4 linked regions of the Arabidopsis thaliana genome follow. The protein of the gene in region 1 interacts with the protein of each later gene in a pairwise test. Each region holds a gene or a part of one and is shown in the gene's direction. Other genes may lie near its edges. The genes, in order: AT3G05150, AT3G12180, AT2G16030 and AT1G11940.

Region 1 (6,034 bases):
CGGGAGAAGCTTCTTTGCTTTGGTCTACCGCCATGAAAGAGTGTTGGTAGGACACTTTTAAGATTTTCTCAGAAACCTGAAAACCTAAAAATAGAGAAGAGGATCATAGAAAGGAAATAGAAAGAAGTTAACATTTAAACCAAAAATAAATAAAAATAGAAAGAAGTTTTGAAGTTGGTGTTCGTCTCGAGACACCCGAAAGAAAAGGTTTTGTCTGTGTGTTTAAAATTTGATTTACTAATTTAATTGTTTTCCGTTGACCAATGGTATATCTACTAGTAGTTTTTTTGTTAAGCTAATAGTTAGACTCTAAAATGACTAAATCCTATATTTGGCAATATGCTTTTGATTTTCTCTTTTTGGATTGAACTCAGAGGCATTCTCTTAGCTTCATTCATTTATGGCAGAAAGGGTTAAGGGTCCTTAAAAATCGCTTCATCTGTCGGTCTCGTTATCCAAACTCATATTCCTAATTTAGGTCTTTTAAGGTTTTAAAAAACTACTTTCTTTATCTTGTTGATAAGGAATTTATAAAAGATCAAACTTGAGTAATCTAAGTAGTTTTAGTTTTACTAATTTCATTTACTGTTACTAATCAATTGTAGATATTGACATTCTTGTATATATTGCGACCTGATAGTAATTATCTTTAATTTTCTATATGTTTTTATTCAAGTAGTACTCTGTTTTGTATTTTCTTTCTTGTGAATAGAATATTTTCTGTGTGTATATGATGCAGAAAGCCTGCATTAAAACCTGCATTGGCTTTATTGCTTTGCACCGTTTATTTATTTTTATGATTCTTATTTTTGTGATTAACAAATATTATTTCAAGTGACTCTTATATAAGTTTTGGATAGTTAAACCACGGACCACAATCATGTTGGAAGTGATTGTTCAATACTTCATTGTTGTATAAGAGAGGGGACATCGATCATTTATGTAAATCTTGTTAGGTACTGTTCTGTTCTATCAATCTATCAATAGTCCCTACGCTAACTTTCTGTACCCTCGATTAAATAGGTTTTTGCTCAATGACGCTGGGTCCAAATTGTAATGACTCAGTTCAACTTCCGCGACAAAATCATTTTCATAGATTTTGATGATTTCTATAGTGGGCGGTTTTTTCTATACATCTTACATTCGCAAGAATTTGAATGATATTAGCCCATATGACGAGAAGAAGAATAATTCATTACTTATGTGGTTAATGCGGAGTGGAAACGAATATCTCATGGCCAACTACAAATCCAAATACTGTCTTTTGAATCCCTGTAGTTTTATACTATATGATCTAGAGTTTTTTTTGGATTTTGTCTCCCAAATTAGAAATTATTATAGTATCAACTATCCATCACATTTATAGAAAAAAAAAAAAAAAAAAACTATCCATCACAGCTTGGATCTTGCGGTGGGCCAGGAAAAAACACATGAGCATCGGATCTGTGGAAAACAACTGTCTTATCGGGTCAAACCTTTGAGTCAATTACACGTTACTGTGCATGTCATAAACCATCACCAAAAAGGAAAACAAAATAACAAACCATGCATCTTACTTACCCAGTAACACAATGCATCCATAATGTACATAGTATTTGTGAATTTTTTGAGGAAAGTATTAGTGAATATTATTACTATGAAATACCATGTAATTACTTCTGAATTATCTTACTTAAGAAAATTCAAGTTTAGTCAATCAACATTAAAACTATAGAGAACCCCCAACGTGTAATAATGCATTGGGAGTTGGGACTTTCATAAAATCTCGAATAAATTAATTCAAATTGTCTAATTCGTCCAAAATTATCCTGCATGGGTTTTAGCTAAGCCAGCCTAGCTACATGTACTGATTTATACAGAGATAAATATAGACATGATATATATCAATAAATTAGGAACAAATCAGAGTTTTTAGATCTAAAAACACGGTGCCTTCTCATTTCCTCCGGTGAGTTATCCAAATCTTGTGTTTCTTATCATATATCCTATATTTTATCTACATAAAAATTGATAAGTATTCGTTGAATTCAAAGGGCATTTTACGAAGAAAATGGAGACAAGAAAAGACGACATGGAGAAAAGGAACGACAAATCCGAGCCGTTGCTGCTGCCGGAGAATGGATCCGACGTCTCAGAAGAAGCATCATGGATGGTTTATCTAAGCACGATCATTGCCGTTTGCGGTTCCTACGAGTTTGGAACATGCGTAAGATTCTTTTACGACACCTATTACTTTGGAAATAAAAGATGATGAGAACCTAAGAATTTGTGACGATTAATCTTTTTGATACGAGAAAATCTGTGTTTGTTTTTTAATAGGTGGGATACTCCGCTCCAACACAGTTTGGGATTATGGAAGAGCTTAATTTATCATATTCCCAGGTTTATATTAAATTGATTAAGTCTTCTACGTTTATAGATGCATGTTTAACAATATTTTGCTTAATCTTTTTTTTTTTTTTTTCTCTATTGGAATCTAGTTTTCGGTTTTCGGATCGATATTGAATATGGGAGCAGTGCTCGGCGCCATTACATCGGGGAAGATTTCTGATTTCATCGGTCGGAAAGGGGTAAAACCTACCTAAACAAAATTGTTTTTATCTCAATATACACACAATAAATCCTAAGAAAAATATACCATTTTTACGAAATATAAAATTACTTTTTGGCTCACATGGTTTTTGTCTTTGAGACAGGCCATGCGGTTGTCTTCAGTGATCTCTGCCATCGGCTGGCTGATAATTTACTTGGCCAAGGTTATTCTTTTGGCTGAATTTCTTCAATAGCTGTTTTCAAAAAAAGCTTTAAAATAACATGGAAAATCTGCAACTAAATAGTGATGTTTTTTTTTTAATATTAGGGTGACGTACCTTTGGATTTCGGAAGATTTCTAACGGGTTATGGTTGCGGTACCCTTTCCTTTGTGGTACGACATTTTCATAAGCATTTTCCCCTTATGGATAAAAAGCCATGCATAGTGTTATAAATTAATCAATAAATAAAAATTCCTTTTTATATATGAAACTTTTTGGAAATCCACATTTGGCACCGATTTTGTGTAGGTACCGGTCTTCATCGCCGAAATTAGTCCGAGAAAATTGAGAGGAGCCTTAGCGACGCTTAACCAGGTGATGATGATGTCCTTTTATTTACTACTGCATTAGAAAATGTACTGATTACAATAGAATCAGAGCTAGCATATGTGTTGGTGTTTTCGAGATATTTGACATTGTATCACAAATTAGGAGTATTTTGTGGTCAAAAAAACAAAAATCAAAACAGTATTTAGAGTTATTTAAATCTTTTAAAAGACAACAAAAAATTATTGTTTTATTTCTGAAATAAATTGAAATTGTTAATATTGCAGCTCTTTATCGTAATCGGATTAGCTTCTATGTTCCTCATAGGCGCCGTCGTAAATTGGAGAACTCTTGCACTAACCGGTAAACTTGTTTGTGCGGTAGCTGAACCGGAAATATTTGTTGTTGGTTTAGTAATTATACAAAATTAGATGGTATAAAATTTAATTTGGGTATAACAAAACGAGGTTTAATTAACCAATTTCAGGAGTTGCACCGTGCGTGGTTCTATTCTTTGGGACTTGGTTCATCCCTGAATCACCCAGATGGCTGGTAAGATCAACGATCGTAACTCAACATATGGTTGAAATTAACCTCTTAACATTAAAACCAAAAAAAAAACTAACCGACCCAACTCATATGCATTTTGCGTTTCAAGGAAATGGTTGGCCGCCACAGTGATTTTGAAATTGCGTTGCAAAAACTGAGGGGTCCTCAGGCCAATATCACAAGAGAAGCCGGGGAAATTCAGGTACAATCTAAAACCAGAAAATCGGTTTTGTTACGTGACATGACATTTTTCGTGTTTTGAATTCCGGTTTATAGGAGTACTTAGCGAGTCTTGCTCACCTCCCGAAAGCCACATTGATGGACCTTATTGACAAAAAGAATATTCGATTTGTGATAGTAAGAATCTCTAATTCCATTCAACCGATTATAACTATTTCCCGGTTTGATTTGGTTAAATCTTATTTTTCTATCTATTCAGGTTGGAGTTGGTTTGATGTTTTTCCAACAATTCGTTGGAATTAATGGCGTTATCTTCTACGCACAACAAATATTCGTATCAGCAGGTTATAATTCGAAAATGATCTAGCAAATGTTATAATCTAACATACTCCATTTCTAGACCATTCATCGGTTTTTGTTCCATTTTTGGAGTACCAGGAGCATCCCCAACTCTTGGAAGCATTCTATACTCGATCGAACAAGTCGTTCTCACAGCACTAGGCGCAACATTGCTAATTGATCGGCTTGGAAGAAGGCCACTTCTTATGGTATGGTTCTTGTTTCAGTTTCCAATAAATCCTAGAATACCGGTTTAGAGTATTCGGTCTGACCATGCGGTACATTGCAGGCTTCAGCTGTTGGGATGCTGATTGGATGTTTGCTCATCGGAAATTCATTTCTTTTGAAGGTCAATCATATGAAAAATAAAATTAAAAAATTAAAGCGTATAATGTCAGGAAAAATATAGGACGTTTAGGTTAACCGGTTTGATTTTGGTTTTGACAGGCTCATGGTTTAGCACTTGACATCATTCCGGCTCTGGCAGTTAGTGGTGTCTTGGTAAACATCTATAAACCTAATTTTGGTTTCAATATATATGGTTTGGTCTTGGTTTTTTCCTCGGTTGACCCAAAACCCAATTTCCAGGTCTACATCGGTTCGTTCTCTATTGGAATGGGTGCAATCCCATGGGTTATAATGTCTGAGGTAATTTCAAAACAATATATAATGTTCATATTTCATTATTTTTTCTTAATCTTGTCATTACATTAATTTACTCTTTTTTTATACTTCCAGATATTTCCAATAAATTTGAAAGGAACTGCCGGAGGACTTGTCACTGTAGTAAATTGGCTAAGTTCATGGCTTGTCTCATTCACTTTCAACTTTCTCATGATTTGGAGCCCTCATGGTATATTACATTTTTTTTTGTTATTTTATATACATAACTACTAGGTGAACAATCAGTATTGATCGCATTTCTTTGTTTTTAGGTACATTTTATGTGTATGGTGGGGTATGTGTATTGGCTATTATCTTCATAGCAAAACTTGTTCCTGAAACTAAAGGCAGAACCTTGGAAGAGATTCAAGCAATGATGATGTAACTCTGTAAATATATAATACATGTTAATTTTTTATTTTTTTTATTAAGGTATAACTATCTACATGCAAACGCATACCATTATCAATATAACCGAAAGGCTTTATATGTATTTTATGAATTTAATTTTGGATTTTCAGATTTCGTAAATCGAAAGAATTATGGCATGAAAATGTTCTTTAGTCAAGAAGTGGGCATGTTCTCTCGTAAAGAGGCTTTTCTCGAATCAATCAAACACACAGTCATACCCTTCAAATTAGTGAGGAGGATATTGTTCACTACTATCCCGCCATCGATTTTTCTTCTTCTCAATTATATCATACATAATGGGCCTTACTTTTGGGCCTTCAGCTTTCAAGAGAATTTTACTCGGTAAATGAATAAAAGAGTCTTAACTCTTAAGTGCGTTTACGATTTCCGATATTCTTCTAACGTTTAGTTTGATTTGACTTGATACAGTGGAAAAATATGAACGTTGTGAAACGGTAACATTTTCTTACCGTTTGAATCTATAATATTTGATTGGAAAGAAATTTAAATAATGACTCTCTATAAATACTCCTTTCTTGACTCTGAAATCTGAATCCTCTTTACTTGGTTTATTTCTTACAAATGTCGAGTACAATCTTTTTTTAGTTCTGTTTTTCCACTGGAGGAGTTCTCTCACTCAAATTTTATCTACATTGCTCATTAGCCGAGAGAAACAAAACATAAAAAATCCTCTTACAAGGTAAAATACTCTGGTCTTGATTCTTGTATATCGTTTTGCTATTTAAACGGTTCTTGTTAGTTGTTAATAAATATACACGTTCTTCATCTTTTAAGCTGCATCTTTAATGGAG
Region 2 (3,826 bases), 2.4 Mb from region 1:
AGGATGCTAAAGAGAAATTTCAGCAGTTGCAAAAGGTTATTTCGATTCTCGGTGATGAAGAGAAAAGAGCAGTCTATGATCAAACTGGCTCAGTTGATGATGCTGTAAGTTGAAAGAAAGTTTTCAACTTAAGTAAAGGTACTGGAGGATTTTCTTACAAACTGGTTATTTCCCTATCTCATTAGGATCTTTCGGGAGATGTGGTTGACAACTTGAGGGACTTCTTCAAGGCAATGTACAAGAAGGTAAGAATCATGATTCACAATTGATTTCTTTTTGGACTTTGCAACACAACTGTTTCGTTCTGTATACTGATCATTTGTGCTATAGGTCACCGAGGAAGATATTGAAGAGTTTGAGGCCAACTATAGGGGTTCTGAATCCGAGAAGAATGATTTGATTGAGCTATATAACAAGTTTAAGGGTAAAATGAGCAGGTAATTAATCATCCCCTTGTTTTCATTATTGTCAAGTTTGTGAGTTGAAGTTTGTATAAACATTATTGGTACTATATCTCTTTCAGGCTTTTCTGCTCAATGCTTTGCTCGAACCCCAAGCTTGATTCGCACCGTTTCAAAGATATTATCGATGAGGCCATTGCAGCGGGTAGGCTTCTCTTTCTTGCAATAATTCTTTTGTCTATAAAACCTATCCAGGTTCTGATTTGTTTGTGCATACCATTGTTTAACATCTGCAGGAGAAGTGAAATCAACAAAAGCTTACAAGAAATGGGCAAAGGAGATTGCAGAAATGGAACCTCCCACGAATCCCCAGAAGATGAGACGGAAGTAAGCTTCTATTTGTCTACCTTTTCCACCCCAATAAATGCCCTCTGAAGTTATCTTTGTTGTGACCTGTTTCAAAATTTCTATACTTTCAGAGCAGCAAAGGCTGCAGATAAAGATTTATACGCTGTAATGTCCCAGCGGGGAGATGAGAGGAAAGAGAAGTTCGATTCAATGTTCTCTTCACTTGTCTCTAGGTATGGTAGCAATGCTGACTCTGAGCCAAACGAAGAAGAGTTCGAAGCTGCTCAGAGAAAAGTTGAAAGCCGGAGATCATCGAAGAAGTCTAGAAAAAAATAAAGATTATGTAGTAGTTTGTGAAATTTAGGTTTCGTGTTTGTAATGGAGACCAATGTTTTTAGCGTAAATTAGATCACATTTGTTGCTTCTTAGAAGTTGAAGACTAATGTGTATTTGCTAGGAAACAATGTGTATTTTTACTTTTTGTCTTTTTTCCAACAACAAAAAAAGCAGTGAGTTTACCAGTTCAAAAGCTCAGGGTCCCACGTGTATGTCGTCTGGATCTTCAGAAGAAGAGAAATTCTATCACCGGGTCCTAGGACTTCTCCACCTGCAAAAACAATCAGGTCGAGTAATGCATCATAATCAGTTGATAACTAAACAAGCCTTTGTTACAATGTAACATATAAACGTACGGTATCAACCAAGTTTCTCGGGAAGAGGAGAGTGGACGGATCCTTTGGCTTGTATAGGCCTAAATAAAGAACTAACAAATTTCAAGTGAACTTATTTAAAAGAACCAAATAATTATTCTAAAAGAGAAGAAAAAAATGAAATTATTTACTTATATGGCTTGTATAGGCCTAAATGGCATACAGTTAATAAATTTTGTTAGTTCTTTATTAATTAACACCAAGCATCTTTTTTTTTTGTTGAAAAAGAAAAAGGAATTTAACAAAAAGGATATTCACAAAAAGAAACTAGAGAAGTAATAATAAAAAGGAAAGAAGAATCTAATGTCCAATAGAACCCCAAAGTAAAGTACACCAATTGTTGAGAGAAGAAGAGTTCTTTTTTTTTCAAAGGTATTTAAGGAGAAGAGTCGCAGTCGCAAAAAGACGAATCGTAATTGTTGAAGAGAGCAAATATGGCTTGGGATTTGTTTTTATGGATAGTCTCCTTCTTCGTTAGCTTGGCTCTCGTCGCTTCCGTCTTCTACCAGGTAATCTATCTACTTTGTTTGTCCCCTTTTACTTTCCATTAAGATTCTTAAATCGAGATCTGTCCTTACTGTTCAAATCCTGATTGTCGGAATTGTACTTGTGAAAAAACACCGAGCAACTTAGCTTTTTGTTCGAATTAGCTAAAAAATTAGGAATGGAACAATTTTCCTTTGTGTTCGTCGGTTTTGTACTAAATACAATTGACAATTTTTTGGGTCCAGAGAGGTTTCATTGTTTATCCTTAATCTTATGCTTCTAACTCAAAGTTGTTCTTAGTTCTGATTTGGATTGTCTGCAAGGCTTGTATATGATACTTGGTCAATTGAGACATATAGTTGATTAATTGCGAGTTATATACTGTGAATGAATGAAGTTAGATACTACTACCAATAGTGTTTACTCTCATACTAACTGCCTCTGCTAATGATTGAAGCATTGAGATTCCTTTTTAGTCTATTGATATCGTGTGTGATTTTGTAGGTTATCTGCTTAACGGATTTAGAAGCTGATTACTTGAACCCTTTTGAAACAAGTACCCGTATCAACCGATTAGTAATACCTGAGTTTATCCTCCAAGGGTCACTCTGCCTTCTCTTCCTCCTCACATGGCATTGGGTCTTCTTTCTGGTCGCCGTCCCTGTAACAGTCTATCACGCAATGTTGTAAGTATCTATATCCATCCATATTGCTTATGATTCTTGATTGACATGCGTGGAAACTAAATACGCGCCTCCCATTGTTCTTCAGATACAAAGAGCGACGTTATCTCATCGATGTCACTGAAGTGTTCCGTGGTATCAGCTTTGAAAAGAAGCTCCGGTATACCAAGCTCGGGTTCTACGTCTTTCTCTTCATCATGGTTGTCTTTAGGTAAAAAAAACTACAGCTTTAGCTTTCCTATTAACATCTTCACTTACTTTGGTTCTTCTACTATGAAGTTACTTACCGAGTCCATAAAACATTTTTGCAGGCTCACTCTCTCTGCGGTCTATAGCTTCACGGAAGATGATGATCTACTTCATTTGTTTTGATTTATGCGCTTGCGCTCTGCGTTATCAACCACTCTCTCTTTATTTTCTGAGTGTGTTTTAGAAAATTGTGACAGGTTTTTATTACGTCCCTGCTTAGAATTAGCCATTCAGGGATTCATCATGTAGCTTTATATAACGTATGATTACCGAAAACTCATCACAAATCGTTTGACATGGAGGGTTTCATCAGTTTTGTTTTGCGCAATATAATGTTCAGTCTCATCATTGAAGTCATAAAAATCATGTATCAAGAATGAAGCTACATTGTATTACATAGACTGGCTGTGGAAAAACGCACCGATATCTAGTTTATCGGAGATGCAATTGAACCCGCTGTGGACCTTAAATCCATGTCCATCCAAGAGGAGGAGGAGAAGGTGACCCAAACAGAAACTCTGCAAGAACAAAAACCAAGGCATGTTTCAACAAACCTTTTTATATGAGCCAATTTTTGCGATAGTGACCAAATAGCGACCCAAGAAGGATTACGGCCCAACCCAAGAGAGTTATCCAGCTTGATTACGTCCCAGACCCCCTATGACCCGATCCGGACCGGCTCAGACCATCTCACAAACCGATAATATTTACTACGGGCATTAAACCGGTTAAATAAGGAACTTTCCTTATTTAGATTTTTTAGGGCAAGAGTCTGGGACCACGAGAGACTCTAGTCAATCCAAGCGAAAAGATCATTCAAGATAGATAGACTACAATTTTCATACTTGGCCGTGGCCCGTGGGTGTCCTTAATTAACTCCCAACGACTATGCCACTTAATCCAGCAAATAGGCGCTTATTCACTTACCTTATCAAAACCATAATCCATC
Region 3 (3,832 bases), on another chromosome or scaffold:
TAACAAGCCCTCCTAACTGAGAAATAGCAACCTCAAGATCCATATCCTCAAACTGTAAGGATTTGCTTACTATATTCACAGCAGCTAGCAAATCGTACCAAATTATCATTCCAAATAAAAATTCAAACCCTCCAATTCCATGTGTTTCACTCTCTGTAAGAGACTCAACATCACTCCGGTGTCCTGGATTATCAGTGTATTCTGCCAAATAAAAAAGTGCATCTTGTATCTGTATCTTTGAAGCTTAATATCTTATTGGTTTAAGACTATCAATGCGGCTTTCCCAACGCGTTTGAGACAACGGTTTAAGTGTAATACCATTCACTGTTTCTCTAAACACTTCCCAATTGTTGGTTGAAGCTTCAAACAGACAATGTATTCGCTGAACAATTCCAAAAAAAGAAACAGCTTTCTTGGATGATGAAGCCATATCACAAAGTGCAAGGTTAAGACCATGGCATCCACATGGAGTGTAAAATGCTCTTGGATTTATATCAAGCAACCTTTTCTGAACTCCTTTATGTTTTCTCTTCATATTTTGTCAGTTGTCGTATGCTTGTCATCTTACATCATCAATATTCAACTTAAGATCAATCAATGCATCTTGAAGAGTCTTAAAAAGCCCCTCACCCCTCTTATCTTTGATGTGTAGAAACGTCAAGAAGAACTCCTCAATCTTAGGTGAACACGTTGAAACATCCACACATCGAATTAAGAAGGTCATTTGTTCTTTACGACTAACATCCGGAATGGAATCAAGAATGACTGAAAAATACTTCGCATCTTTAATCTTCTTTAAGATCATCATCTTGGTATCATTAGCAAGTAATTCTGTCAATTCATTCTGACTCTTATGACTGGGAAAATGGCAATGAATTTCACCTTTATTAGCCCGCCGAATGTGTTCCTTCATATCCGAATTAAAACCTCCAATCATTCTAATAAATGCCAAAATATTTCCACTATTTGGATCATCAACATTCTCTTTAGTTCCACAAAATGCTAAATTTTGTTTAGCTAGAGTCTTTACCACTGCAATTATTCTCACCAATACATCTCTCCAATGTTTTTTCTCCTTCTTAATTGCCTATTCCATATGGTTATCAATTGTTTTACTCTTTTGTAATCTCACTTCTAGCTCCATCCAATGAGTCATGGAAATAATATGACGATGAGTTGTTTCATGTCTTTTCAGCCTTTGCGCAGCATTTTTCCAGTCATTATACCCACTACTTGCTAACAATGTAGGATTTGTTTCTTGATCGAATAATTAGAGAGAAATTCGATCCGCTGATTTTTGAGGAATATTTGAATTTTGATTCTAAAAATAAGTGAATTCGAGTTTTGGTGACAAAGCAGCGCATTTGTTAGCTGATTGTATTTTGATTATTGATGCTATATAGACATAGATTTGTGCGAAAATTGAGGAACAAGAGAGAAATTTGATCCGCTAATTTTTGAGGAAGATTTGAATTTCGATTCTAAAAATAGATGGATTAGATCTGCAGCGTTTGTTAGTTGAATGTGTTTCGATTATTGATGCTAAATATACATAGATTTGTGCCAAAATGAGGAATTAGAGAGAAATTCGATCCGCTAATTTTTGAGGAATATTTGAATTTTGTTTTTAAAAATAGATGGATTCGAGTTTTGGTAACAATCGGCGGTGTTTGTTAGTTGATTGTGTTTTAATTATTGATGCTAAATAGACATAGATTTGTGTAAAAATTGAGGAACTGAGAGAAATTTGATTTGCTAATTTTTGAGGAATATTTGAATTTTAATTCCAAAAATAGATGGATTCGAGTTTTGATAACAATTCGCAGCGTTTGTTAGTTGACCATGTTTCGATTAATTATACTAAATCGACATAGATTTGTGGAAAATTGAGGAAATAGAGAGAAATTCGATCCGCTAATCTTATATGAATATTTGAATTTCGTTCCAAAAATAGATTATTTAGAGTTTTGGTAACAATCAACGGCGTTTGTTAGGTGATTGTGTTTTTATTATTGATGTTATATAAACATAGATATTTTGATCGGAGTTTTGATCGGCGACGATGGAGAGAAACGTCGAGAAGATGCTGAAGAGAGTATCAATAGTGTTCTTAAGCATCGGAACAGTATTAATGGTAATTATGATTCTCCAGACACCAAAAACTTGTATTTCTCCAGAAGCTCCATCGAAACCTCATACGCATTTCCCGAGATCTACATGCGATTCATCGCCTCGTCAGCATCTTCCTCTCCCAAAGAAGAACGCTCGAATCTGGTCCTCTGGAGCTTGGAAATCTCGTCTATACTCCTTCTCTACCTACTTCCTCCGATTTCGCGATCTCGGATTCATTCAAAATCACACCAAAGCTCTCTGTCTCTCCGCCGGAGCAGGCCATGCTCTGATGGCTCTTTCTCAGATCGGATTATCTGATGTTACCGCAGTTGAATTGGTTGATTCGATTCCTCTTGTGAAAAGAGCTGATCCTCATAACCTTCCGTTTTTCGACGGTGTCTTTGATTTTGCCTTCACTGCACATCTAGCTGAAGCTCTGTTTCCGTGGCAGTTTGTGGAGGAGATGGAGAGGACGGTGAGACGTGGCGGATTTTGTGTGGTTTCGGTTGATGAATGTGGTGGAGATGATGTAAGAGACATTGCTAGGCTTTTTCATAACTCCAAGGTCGTTGATGTTGCTAATGTAACCTTAGAAGGATCCAAAAAGACTAGTATACTATTCAAAGTTCAAGACTCTCCTACCTGAGGTGTTTTATTTCTCTTTTGATTTATAGGCCCTTTCCGGATTCTCAGAAAACTGCTTCAATATTCATAGAGTGGAGCTAGATTTGTTTCTGTTGAAATTCACTTACATGTTTGAAAAGCAGGAGATTTAACAGATTATGTGGTAACATTGTTCAAAGACCATGACCATATTTGTTCTGGATCCTAAAGCAATGTTTTGTTGAGGGAAGCTGCGATGTTTGTTGCGAGTTCAAGATCCAGAACAAAAGCTTTCTACAGGTTAATATCTTTTTTTTTGGAAGTTGGTCTCTGAGCTAAACAATTCTTAGGAACCTTGGTCGCTTTTGAAACAAGTAAAGAACTTTCAACAGCTTTTGAAGACTTTAGTGTGTGATGAAAGAAAGTACTTTCTTTCCAGGTGAGGTTCACGTTTCAATCTGTTAGAGCTCTCCTGTGTACTATTTGTGAGTTAAGTAAAATACTCTTTAGTCATTTTGTATACTTAGAAAGAACAAAATTCTTATTGGTGAATAAAAGGCTCTTACTAAAAAAAAAAAAAAAAAAAAAAAAAAATTTTCTCTCAAGCAAGATAACCAAGGTAGCCGCAAGCCTTGTTCGTGATTAGTTCTCTTCACCGGCGTTGCTCCTCTGACTGCCTGCGTTCCTGATTGTAGCTACTACTAAAGTGAGATCTCTCCAATGAATCTACTTTTCCGGTGGCGTAATTGTTTTCCGGCGAGTCTTTCACTTGAAATGACTTTCCTTTTTCTCTCGAATGCGAGCCACTCTCGTCGCTTACCGTCGTCTTCGGTCGCCTTCCTCCTTCTGAGGCCACCTTGTGCACCACCACCAGAGCCTCCATCTCCGCCGACTCCACCGGAACCACCGGATCCACCAGATTCTCAGATCTGCTTCACTTTTGCTGATTCTTATGCTCAGTCGTTGAGCTCCTCTTCCCTCCCAGATTTGGTCTCGCTCATTCTCCATATCTCCTCCGCCATATCTGAATCTCCGTCACCGACCTCTTCGATCACTGATTTTTTCATTGATGTTTTCCTTCTCGCCGACGACACCACTTTTCTTCCTCAGTATTTCC
Region 4 (4,979 bases), on another chromosome or scaffold:
GAATACAGCGATCCTAGATCAGGAATTCTCAACATTGCTACAAAACTTCCTGAAGGACTTCTTAAACCAGATCTTGGTCCAAAAACTTATGTTGCATATGGGACTTCAGATGAGCTCGGTAGAGGAGATTCAGTCACTAAGCTTCACTGTGATATGTCAGATGCTGTAAGTTTCAGAATTGTTACTTAGTACTGTTAAATAATAATACGGTTTCTCAGGTGTATAACGGTTTTTTGTTTTTGTAGGTTAATATTCTGATGCATACTGCTGAAGTAACACTAAGTGAGGAGCAAAGGTCTGCAATTGCAGATTTGAAACAGAAACATAAGCAACAGAATGAGAAAGAGCTTCAGGAGCAAAATGGTTTAGAGGAAGAAGAGGTTGTGAGTGATGAGATTGTGGTTTATGATGAAACAAGTGGTGCACTTTGGGACATCTTTAAAAGAGAAGATGTTCCTAAGCTTGAAGAGTATCTAAGGAAGCATTGCATAGAATTCAGACATACTTATTGCTCTCGTGTTACAAAGGTAAGAAATAATCCACAAAACGTTTTCAGTTCCGAGTCTTAGAGGTTATTGTGCTGATAGGATTCTTTATGTTAGGTGTATCATCCAATACATGATCAGTCATATTTCTTAACCGTGGAGCATAAAAGAAAACTCAAGGCAGAATTTGGTATGGTTACTTGTAACTGTAGTAACTGTCACTTACCGACATTGTATTCTTACGTTTTTGTGTTTGTTTGTTTGAACTAAAGGGATTGAGCCATGGACATTTGTGCAAAAGCTAGGAGAAGCAGTGTTTATTCCAGCAGGTTGTCCTCATCAAGTTCGGAATCTCAAGGTTATTATTTGAATGGAAGCTGTCCTATTAACTAAACTTTTTCTCATTATCTTTAACTTGTATTATGGATTTTGATACAGTCGTGCACAAAGGTAGCTGTTGATTTTGTTTCCCCTGAAAACATCGATGAGTGTCTCCGTTTGACTGATGAGTTTCGACAACTCCCTAAGAACCATAAAGCCAGAGAAGACAAACTTGAGGTGATTCTTTTTCTGATATTTTCAATTTTGGATTAGCAACTTCTGTCAATGGATACAGTTTTGTTTGTAGTTGAATCTTGTTTTAATCTTTGCCATGTGAACAGATAAAAAAGATGGTGATCTATGCAGTTGAACAAGCTCTGAAAGAAGTGGAGACATTATTGCTAGATCGCAGCTAAAAGCTCTATAGCTTTGTTGTTGTAGGATTAACAGCAGATTTTGTAGAATTGTTAAAGCCATGGCTATTGTAGTTGGCTTTTGCTGTGATATATGTATGTAAAAGAGACAAGTGTCTCTTGAAAAGAATGATTTCCTTTTTTTCAAATGGGATTTTGATGTAACTTTTCCTTTTCCGGTCTGTTTTGGCATATGAATGAATATTTGATGTAAGCTTCTTTTGTATAGTTTTGTATCTTTACATCATTTTGAGAGCAAATGAAAGTTTATGATATGAGAGCATCATAGATTCATAGTAGCAAATACAATTGGTTCAGTTGTTGCTTGCAAATTTTTACTGCAGTAAATATGGATTGTTTTGTTTTCAAAGGTTTTAAAATGACTTAATACATTAATTTCCAAAGGTTTTGTTTTAAGGTATTTTTTTTTTTTTTCTAATTGTATAGAAGGAAATACAATAATTAATATTCCTAGTCAAATTGTATAATTTTCATACCATTTTCTGACAATTTCAATTTCGGACAACAATTTAATGATGTTCTAATTTAACGTGGGTCCCAACTAACTTAAAACGTGTACGTGGCTTACGACGTCGTTTACAAGTTTATACGTCGAACTATCAACATCATTCTACCTTTCTTTCTCTCTTTCTCTCAAAATCCAAAATGTTGTAATTTGCAATTCTTCAGTTTCCGTTTCTCTCCTGAGAAATTTATTGACTTCAAAAACCCTAAAAAGACTTGTGATTGTTCGTTTCTCTAACTCGAATGTTGATCGTACGACGGTGAGTGATCGTAGTACAATGACGAAGAAATCACAGCCGCAGATTCCGCCTCCATTGTCCCGTCGCGGCGGCGTCGTGTGGCTGGGATGGAAACTCGTAATCGCTTTCTCCGTCGCGCTTTGCCTTCTTGCTCTTCTTCGAATCCAACTACAGTACAATTCCTTCACGACATTGTCGTTTCCACTCTCCGTCGCGAGATCTCAGACACCGCTTCACAAATACTCCGGTGATCGTCCCAAGCTCGCTTTCCTTTTCTTAGCTCGCCGTGATCTCCCACTTGATTTTATGTGGGATAGATTCTTCAAGGTCAAAAAAGATTCTTAGTCCTATTAATACTTGTCCGTTATTCTAAATTTCGAAAAAATTGCTGATTCTGGTGATTTTGCAGGGAGTGGATCATGCGAATTTCTCAATTTATATACATTCAGTACCTGGTTTCGTGTTCAATGAAGAAACTACACGATCACAGTATTTCTATAATCGCCAATTGAACAATAGCATTAAGGTGAGTGTTCATGAGAATTTCTCCATTTGATGTTTTTTTATAGTGAAACTTAGGGTGGTGTTGTTATGGTTATAGGTAGTATGGGGAGAATCAAGCATGATTGAAGCAGAAAGATTGTTGCTTGCATCTGCTTTAGAGGATCACTCCAATCAAAGATTTGTTCTTCTCTCTGACAGGTTTGCTTCTTTCAGCATTACTCTTTCAGATCATCTTATGCCTGACCACTTATTGCATCTGACTTTGAGCACATTTGTGGTTTGTACGGACTTATTTCATTTTCATCTACTTTCTGTTTTGCAGATGTGCTCCATTATATGACTTTGGCTATATATACAAATATCTTATCTCTTCACCGAGGAGTTTTGTGGATAGGTAGATTGAAAGTCTGAATTTATGAGGTTTCTTAGTACTTCATACTTGATATATATGGCCTGATAACTGGTGTATTATAAGAGGAGTTGTCTAGATGTTGATAACTATGTTTGTTGCTCTCTATTGGCAGTTTTCTTCATACTAAAGAGACACGGTACAGTGTGAAAATGTCTCCTGTCATACCTGAAGAGAAATGGCGAAAAGGATCCCAGGTATCTTCATTTTCTTGCTTAGGAAATGAACATTGCTACCAAGATTTTTGAAGCCTGAGTTTCTTGTGAAAATTTAAGCATTAGGAGGATAGGGACCTTTTAAAGTTCATGAAGTTTTTAATCTCATCTTAGTTTTATCTATTGCAGTGGATAGCTTTGATCAGAAGTCATGCAGAGGTCATTGTAAATGATGGTATCGTATTCCCAGTTTTTAAGGAATTCTGCAAGGTAAAGATTAAGCTTTATGATCATGACTTTAATTTCAATCTTGATTCTTTGTTGCTGAAGAAACAATAACTTACTTCTTGATTTCTCTTTCGATTTGCAGAGATGTCCACCTTTAGGTACCAATGAGGCATGGTTGTTTCTTGTAAGTGCTATTTCAAAGTTGGTATTTTTCATTTAATACCAGCCTGAATGTTTATGTTGATTCTTTGTGTTGGTTTCAAAACAATCTCAACAGTGTCTTTTCTGTAGTCTATGAATACTTCTCTCCATTGATTAACCTCTTTCTTTATTAAACAAATGGGGAAACTTTTATTACGTTTGATGTGAACTCAGAAACAGAAGCGACGCAACTGCATCCCCGATGAACACTATGTGCAAACATTGCTTACGGTGACCATCATATCTGATACACATCTCTCTCATTTTTGTTTCCATCTAAAAAGTTCCATATTGTTAATGTATTACAAACTGACCATTTCAGATGCAAGGACTAGAGAGTGAAATGGAACGAAGAACAGTGACATACACTGTATGGAACGTTTCAGGTACAAAATATGAAGCCAAATCTTGGCATCCCGTCACTTTCACATTGGAAAACTCCGGCCCTGAGGAAATAAAAGAAATAAAGGTACAATCTTTTTGTTCAGAGGATTAATATCACAACCGAATGAATCCCTAAGTAATCTCTCTAGTTCTTTTGCTTTTCTCGGGACAGAAAATAGACCATGTCTATTACGAGTCTGAATCTCGAACGGAATGGTGTAAGGCGGATTCGAAACCCGTCCCATGCTTTCTCTTTGCAAGGAAGTTCACGAATGAAGCTGCTATGCGCATTGTGAGTGAAGGACTAATAGGATCATCAGCAAACAAAACCTTATAACTTTGCAACAGTGTAAGCAAGTAGGTCAAGCAACAGAGCGTATACATAGAGTAGGAATAGCATTGATACATTACAAACATCCCTCATGAGGTTTAATGGTTTATGATTATATATGACGCTTAGTAAAAACTAATAATCATTCTTCATGGATAATCTTGTGTTTGGGTGTTAAAATTTCTATGTGTATATGTCTGAAGAAACTGGCTTCGATTAATAGAATATGTTAATAGCAAATTCTACTCTGGATTGATGTCTTTTACTCATTCTCCTGGAAATTGTTAAAAAAAAACTAAAATTTTCAAGGACTCGAACACACAATAATGAAGTACATAAACACTTAACCAAAACAAACTTTTTAAACAAGTGACCTTACATTTTTCTTTATAGTTGGTAGCGTAAAGCACATGTTTTGGTTGCTTTATGGGCGGACTGGGCCTAGTTCGTCGGAATTCTAAGCTTCTTTTGCAAATCTGATGATTCCATAGAAATGAGTCAAACGACGAGCCGTTGGACGGTAGTTGAGCTCAATTGGGCCACATTTTTTGAAAAAATTTGTTCACTAAAATTAGCTTAAAAAAAACATTTTTTTAATTGGGCTACAACAATGCAATTATTCCAAATCCATAGTATTGGCATTGTCATTTTTATAAAAATCTCTCTGAATCTTTTAAGTTCAAAAATCTTAACCATTAAAAAAATTCCCAACCGACTCGAGCTAAGCCTAGCAATCATAAAAAAAGGAAAACTTCCATTAACGAAAACTTCTCATCAGAAACTC

The links.
Region 2: the proteins of AT3G05150 (region 1) and AT3G12180 interact in a protein complementation assay, tested with the Arabidopsis thaliana proteins (one large-scale study listed by BioGRID).
Region 3: the proteins of AT3G05150 (region 1) and AT2G16030 interact in a protein complementation assay, tested with the Arabidopsis thaliana proteins (one large-scale study listed by BioGRID).
Region 4: the proteins of AT3G05150 (region 1) and AT1G11940 interact in a protein complementation assay, tested with the Arabidopsis thaliana proteins (one large-scale study listed by BioGRID).

What each region holds. Positions count from the first base shown.
Region 1 is NC_003074.8:1,438,166-1,444,199, forward strand, and holds AT3G05150 (Major facilitator superfamily protein), read left to right. Parts: upstream 1-1,907; 5' UTR 1,908-1,948; intron 1,949-1,960; exon of another isoform or gene 1,961-2,033; 5' UTR 2,034-2,050; coding exon 2,051-2,206; intron 2,207-2,319; coding exon 2,320-2,382; intron 2,383-2,480; coding exon 2,481-2,570; intron 2,571-2,696; coding exon 2,697-2,756; intron 2,757-2,860; coding exon 2,861-2,926; intron 2,927-3,062; coding exon 3,063-3,128; intron 3,129-3,367; coding exon 3,368-3,443; intron 3,444-3,567; coding exon 3,568-3,632; intron 3,633-3,738; coding exon 3,739-3,831; intron 3,832-3,905; coding exon 3,906-3,986; intron 3,987-4,068; coding exon 4,069-4,153; intron 4,154-4,247; coding exon 4,248-4,357; intron 4,358-4,437; coding exon 4,438-4,497; intron 4,498-4,595; coding exon 4,596-4,649; intron 4,650-4,736; coding exon 4,737-4,796; intron 4,797-4,886; coding exon 4,887-5,001; intron 5,002-5,083; coding exon 5,084-5,192; coding exon of another isoform or gene 5,193-5,196; exon of another isoform or gene 5,197-5,332; and 3 more. Other genes in the region: RBK2 (ROP binding protein kinases 2), read right to left, coding at 1-34. UniProt on the Arabidopsis thaliana protein: Sugar transporter.
Region 2 is NC_003074.8:3,881,571-3,885,396, forward strand, and holds AT3G12180 (Cornichon family protein), read left to right. Parts: upstream 1-1,759; 5' UTR 1,760-1,893; coding exon 1,894-1,968; intron 1,969-2,449; coding exon 2,450-2,631; intron 2,632-2,716; coding exon 2,717-2,839; intron 2,840-2,939; coding exon 2,940-3,000; 3' UTR 3,001-3,294; downstream 3,295-3,826. Other genes in the region: AT3G12170 (Chaperone DnaJ-domain superfamily protein), read left to right, coding at 3-104, 186-245, 331-437, 524-606, 698-788, 881-1,085.
Region 3 is NC_003071.7:6,973,122-6,976,953, reverse strand, and holds AT2G16030 (S-adenosyl-L-methionine-dependent methyltransferases superfamily protein), read left to right. Parts: upstream 1-1,946; 5' UTR 1,947-2,062; coding exon 2,063-2,758; 3' UTR 2,759-3,281; downstream 3,282-3,832. Other genes in the region: AT2G16040 (hAT dimerization domain-containing protein / transposase-like protein), read right to left, coding at 1-201, 631-937; AT2G16020 (uncharacterized protein), read right to left, coding at 3,368-3,598; AT2G16019 (uncharacterized protein), read right to left, coding at 3,672-3,782; AT2G16018 (uncharacterized protein), read left to right, coding at 3,436-3,832.
Region 4 is NC_003070.9:4,030,990-4,035,968, reverse strand, and holds AT1G11940 (Core-2/I-branching beta-1,6-N-acetylglucosaminyltransferase family protein), read left to right. Parts: upstream 1-1,813; 5' UTR 1,814-2,022; coding exon 2,023-2,310; intron 2,311-2,392; coding exon 2,393-2,509; intron 2,510-2,584; coding exon 2,585-2,685; intron 2,686-2,809; coding exon 2,810-2,881; intron 2,882-3,011; coding exon 3,012-3,093; intron 3,094-3,240; coding exon 3,241-3,321; intron 3,322-3,421; coding exon 3,422-3,463; coding exon of another isoform or gene 3,464-3,499; exon of another isoform or gene 3,500-3,654; coding exon 3,655-3,711; intron 3,712-3,802; coding exon 3,803-3,949; intron 3,950-4,036; coding exon 4,037-4,201; 3' UTR 4,202-4,435; downstream 4,436-4,979. Other genes in the region: AT1G11950 (Transcription factor jumonji (jmjC) domain-containing protein), read left to right, coding at 1-165, 246-527, 603-675, 758-843, 924-1,043, 1,148-1,222.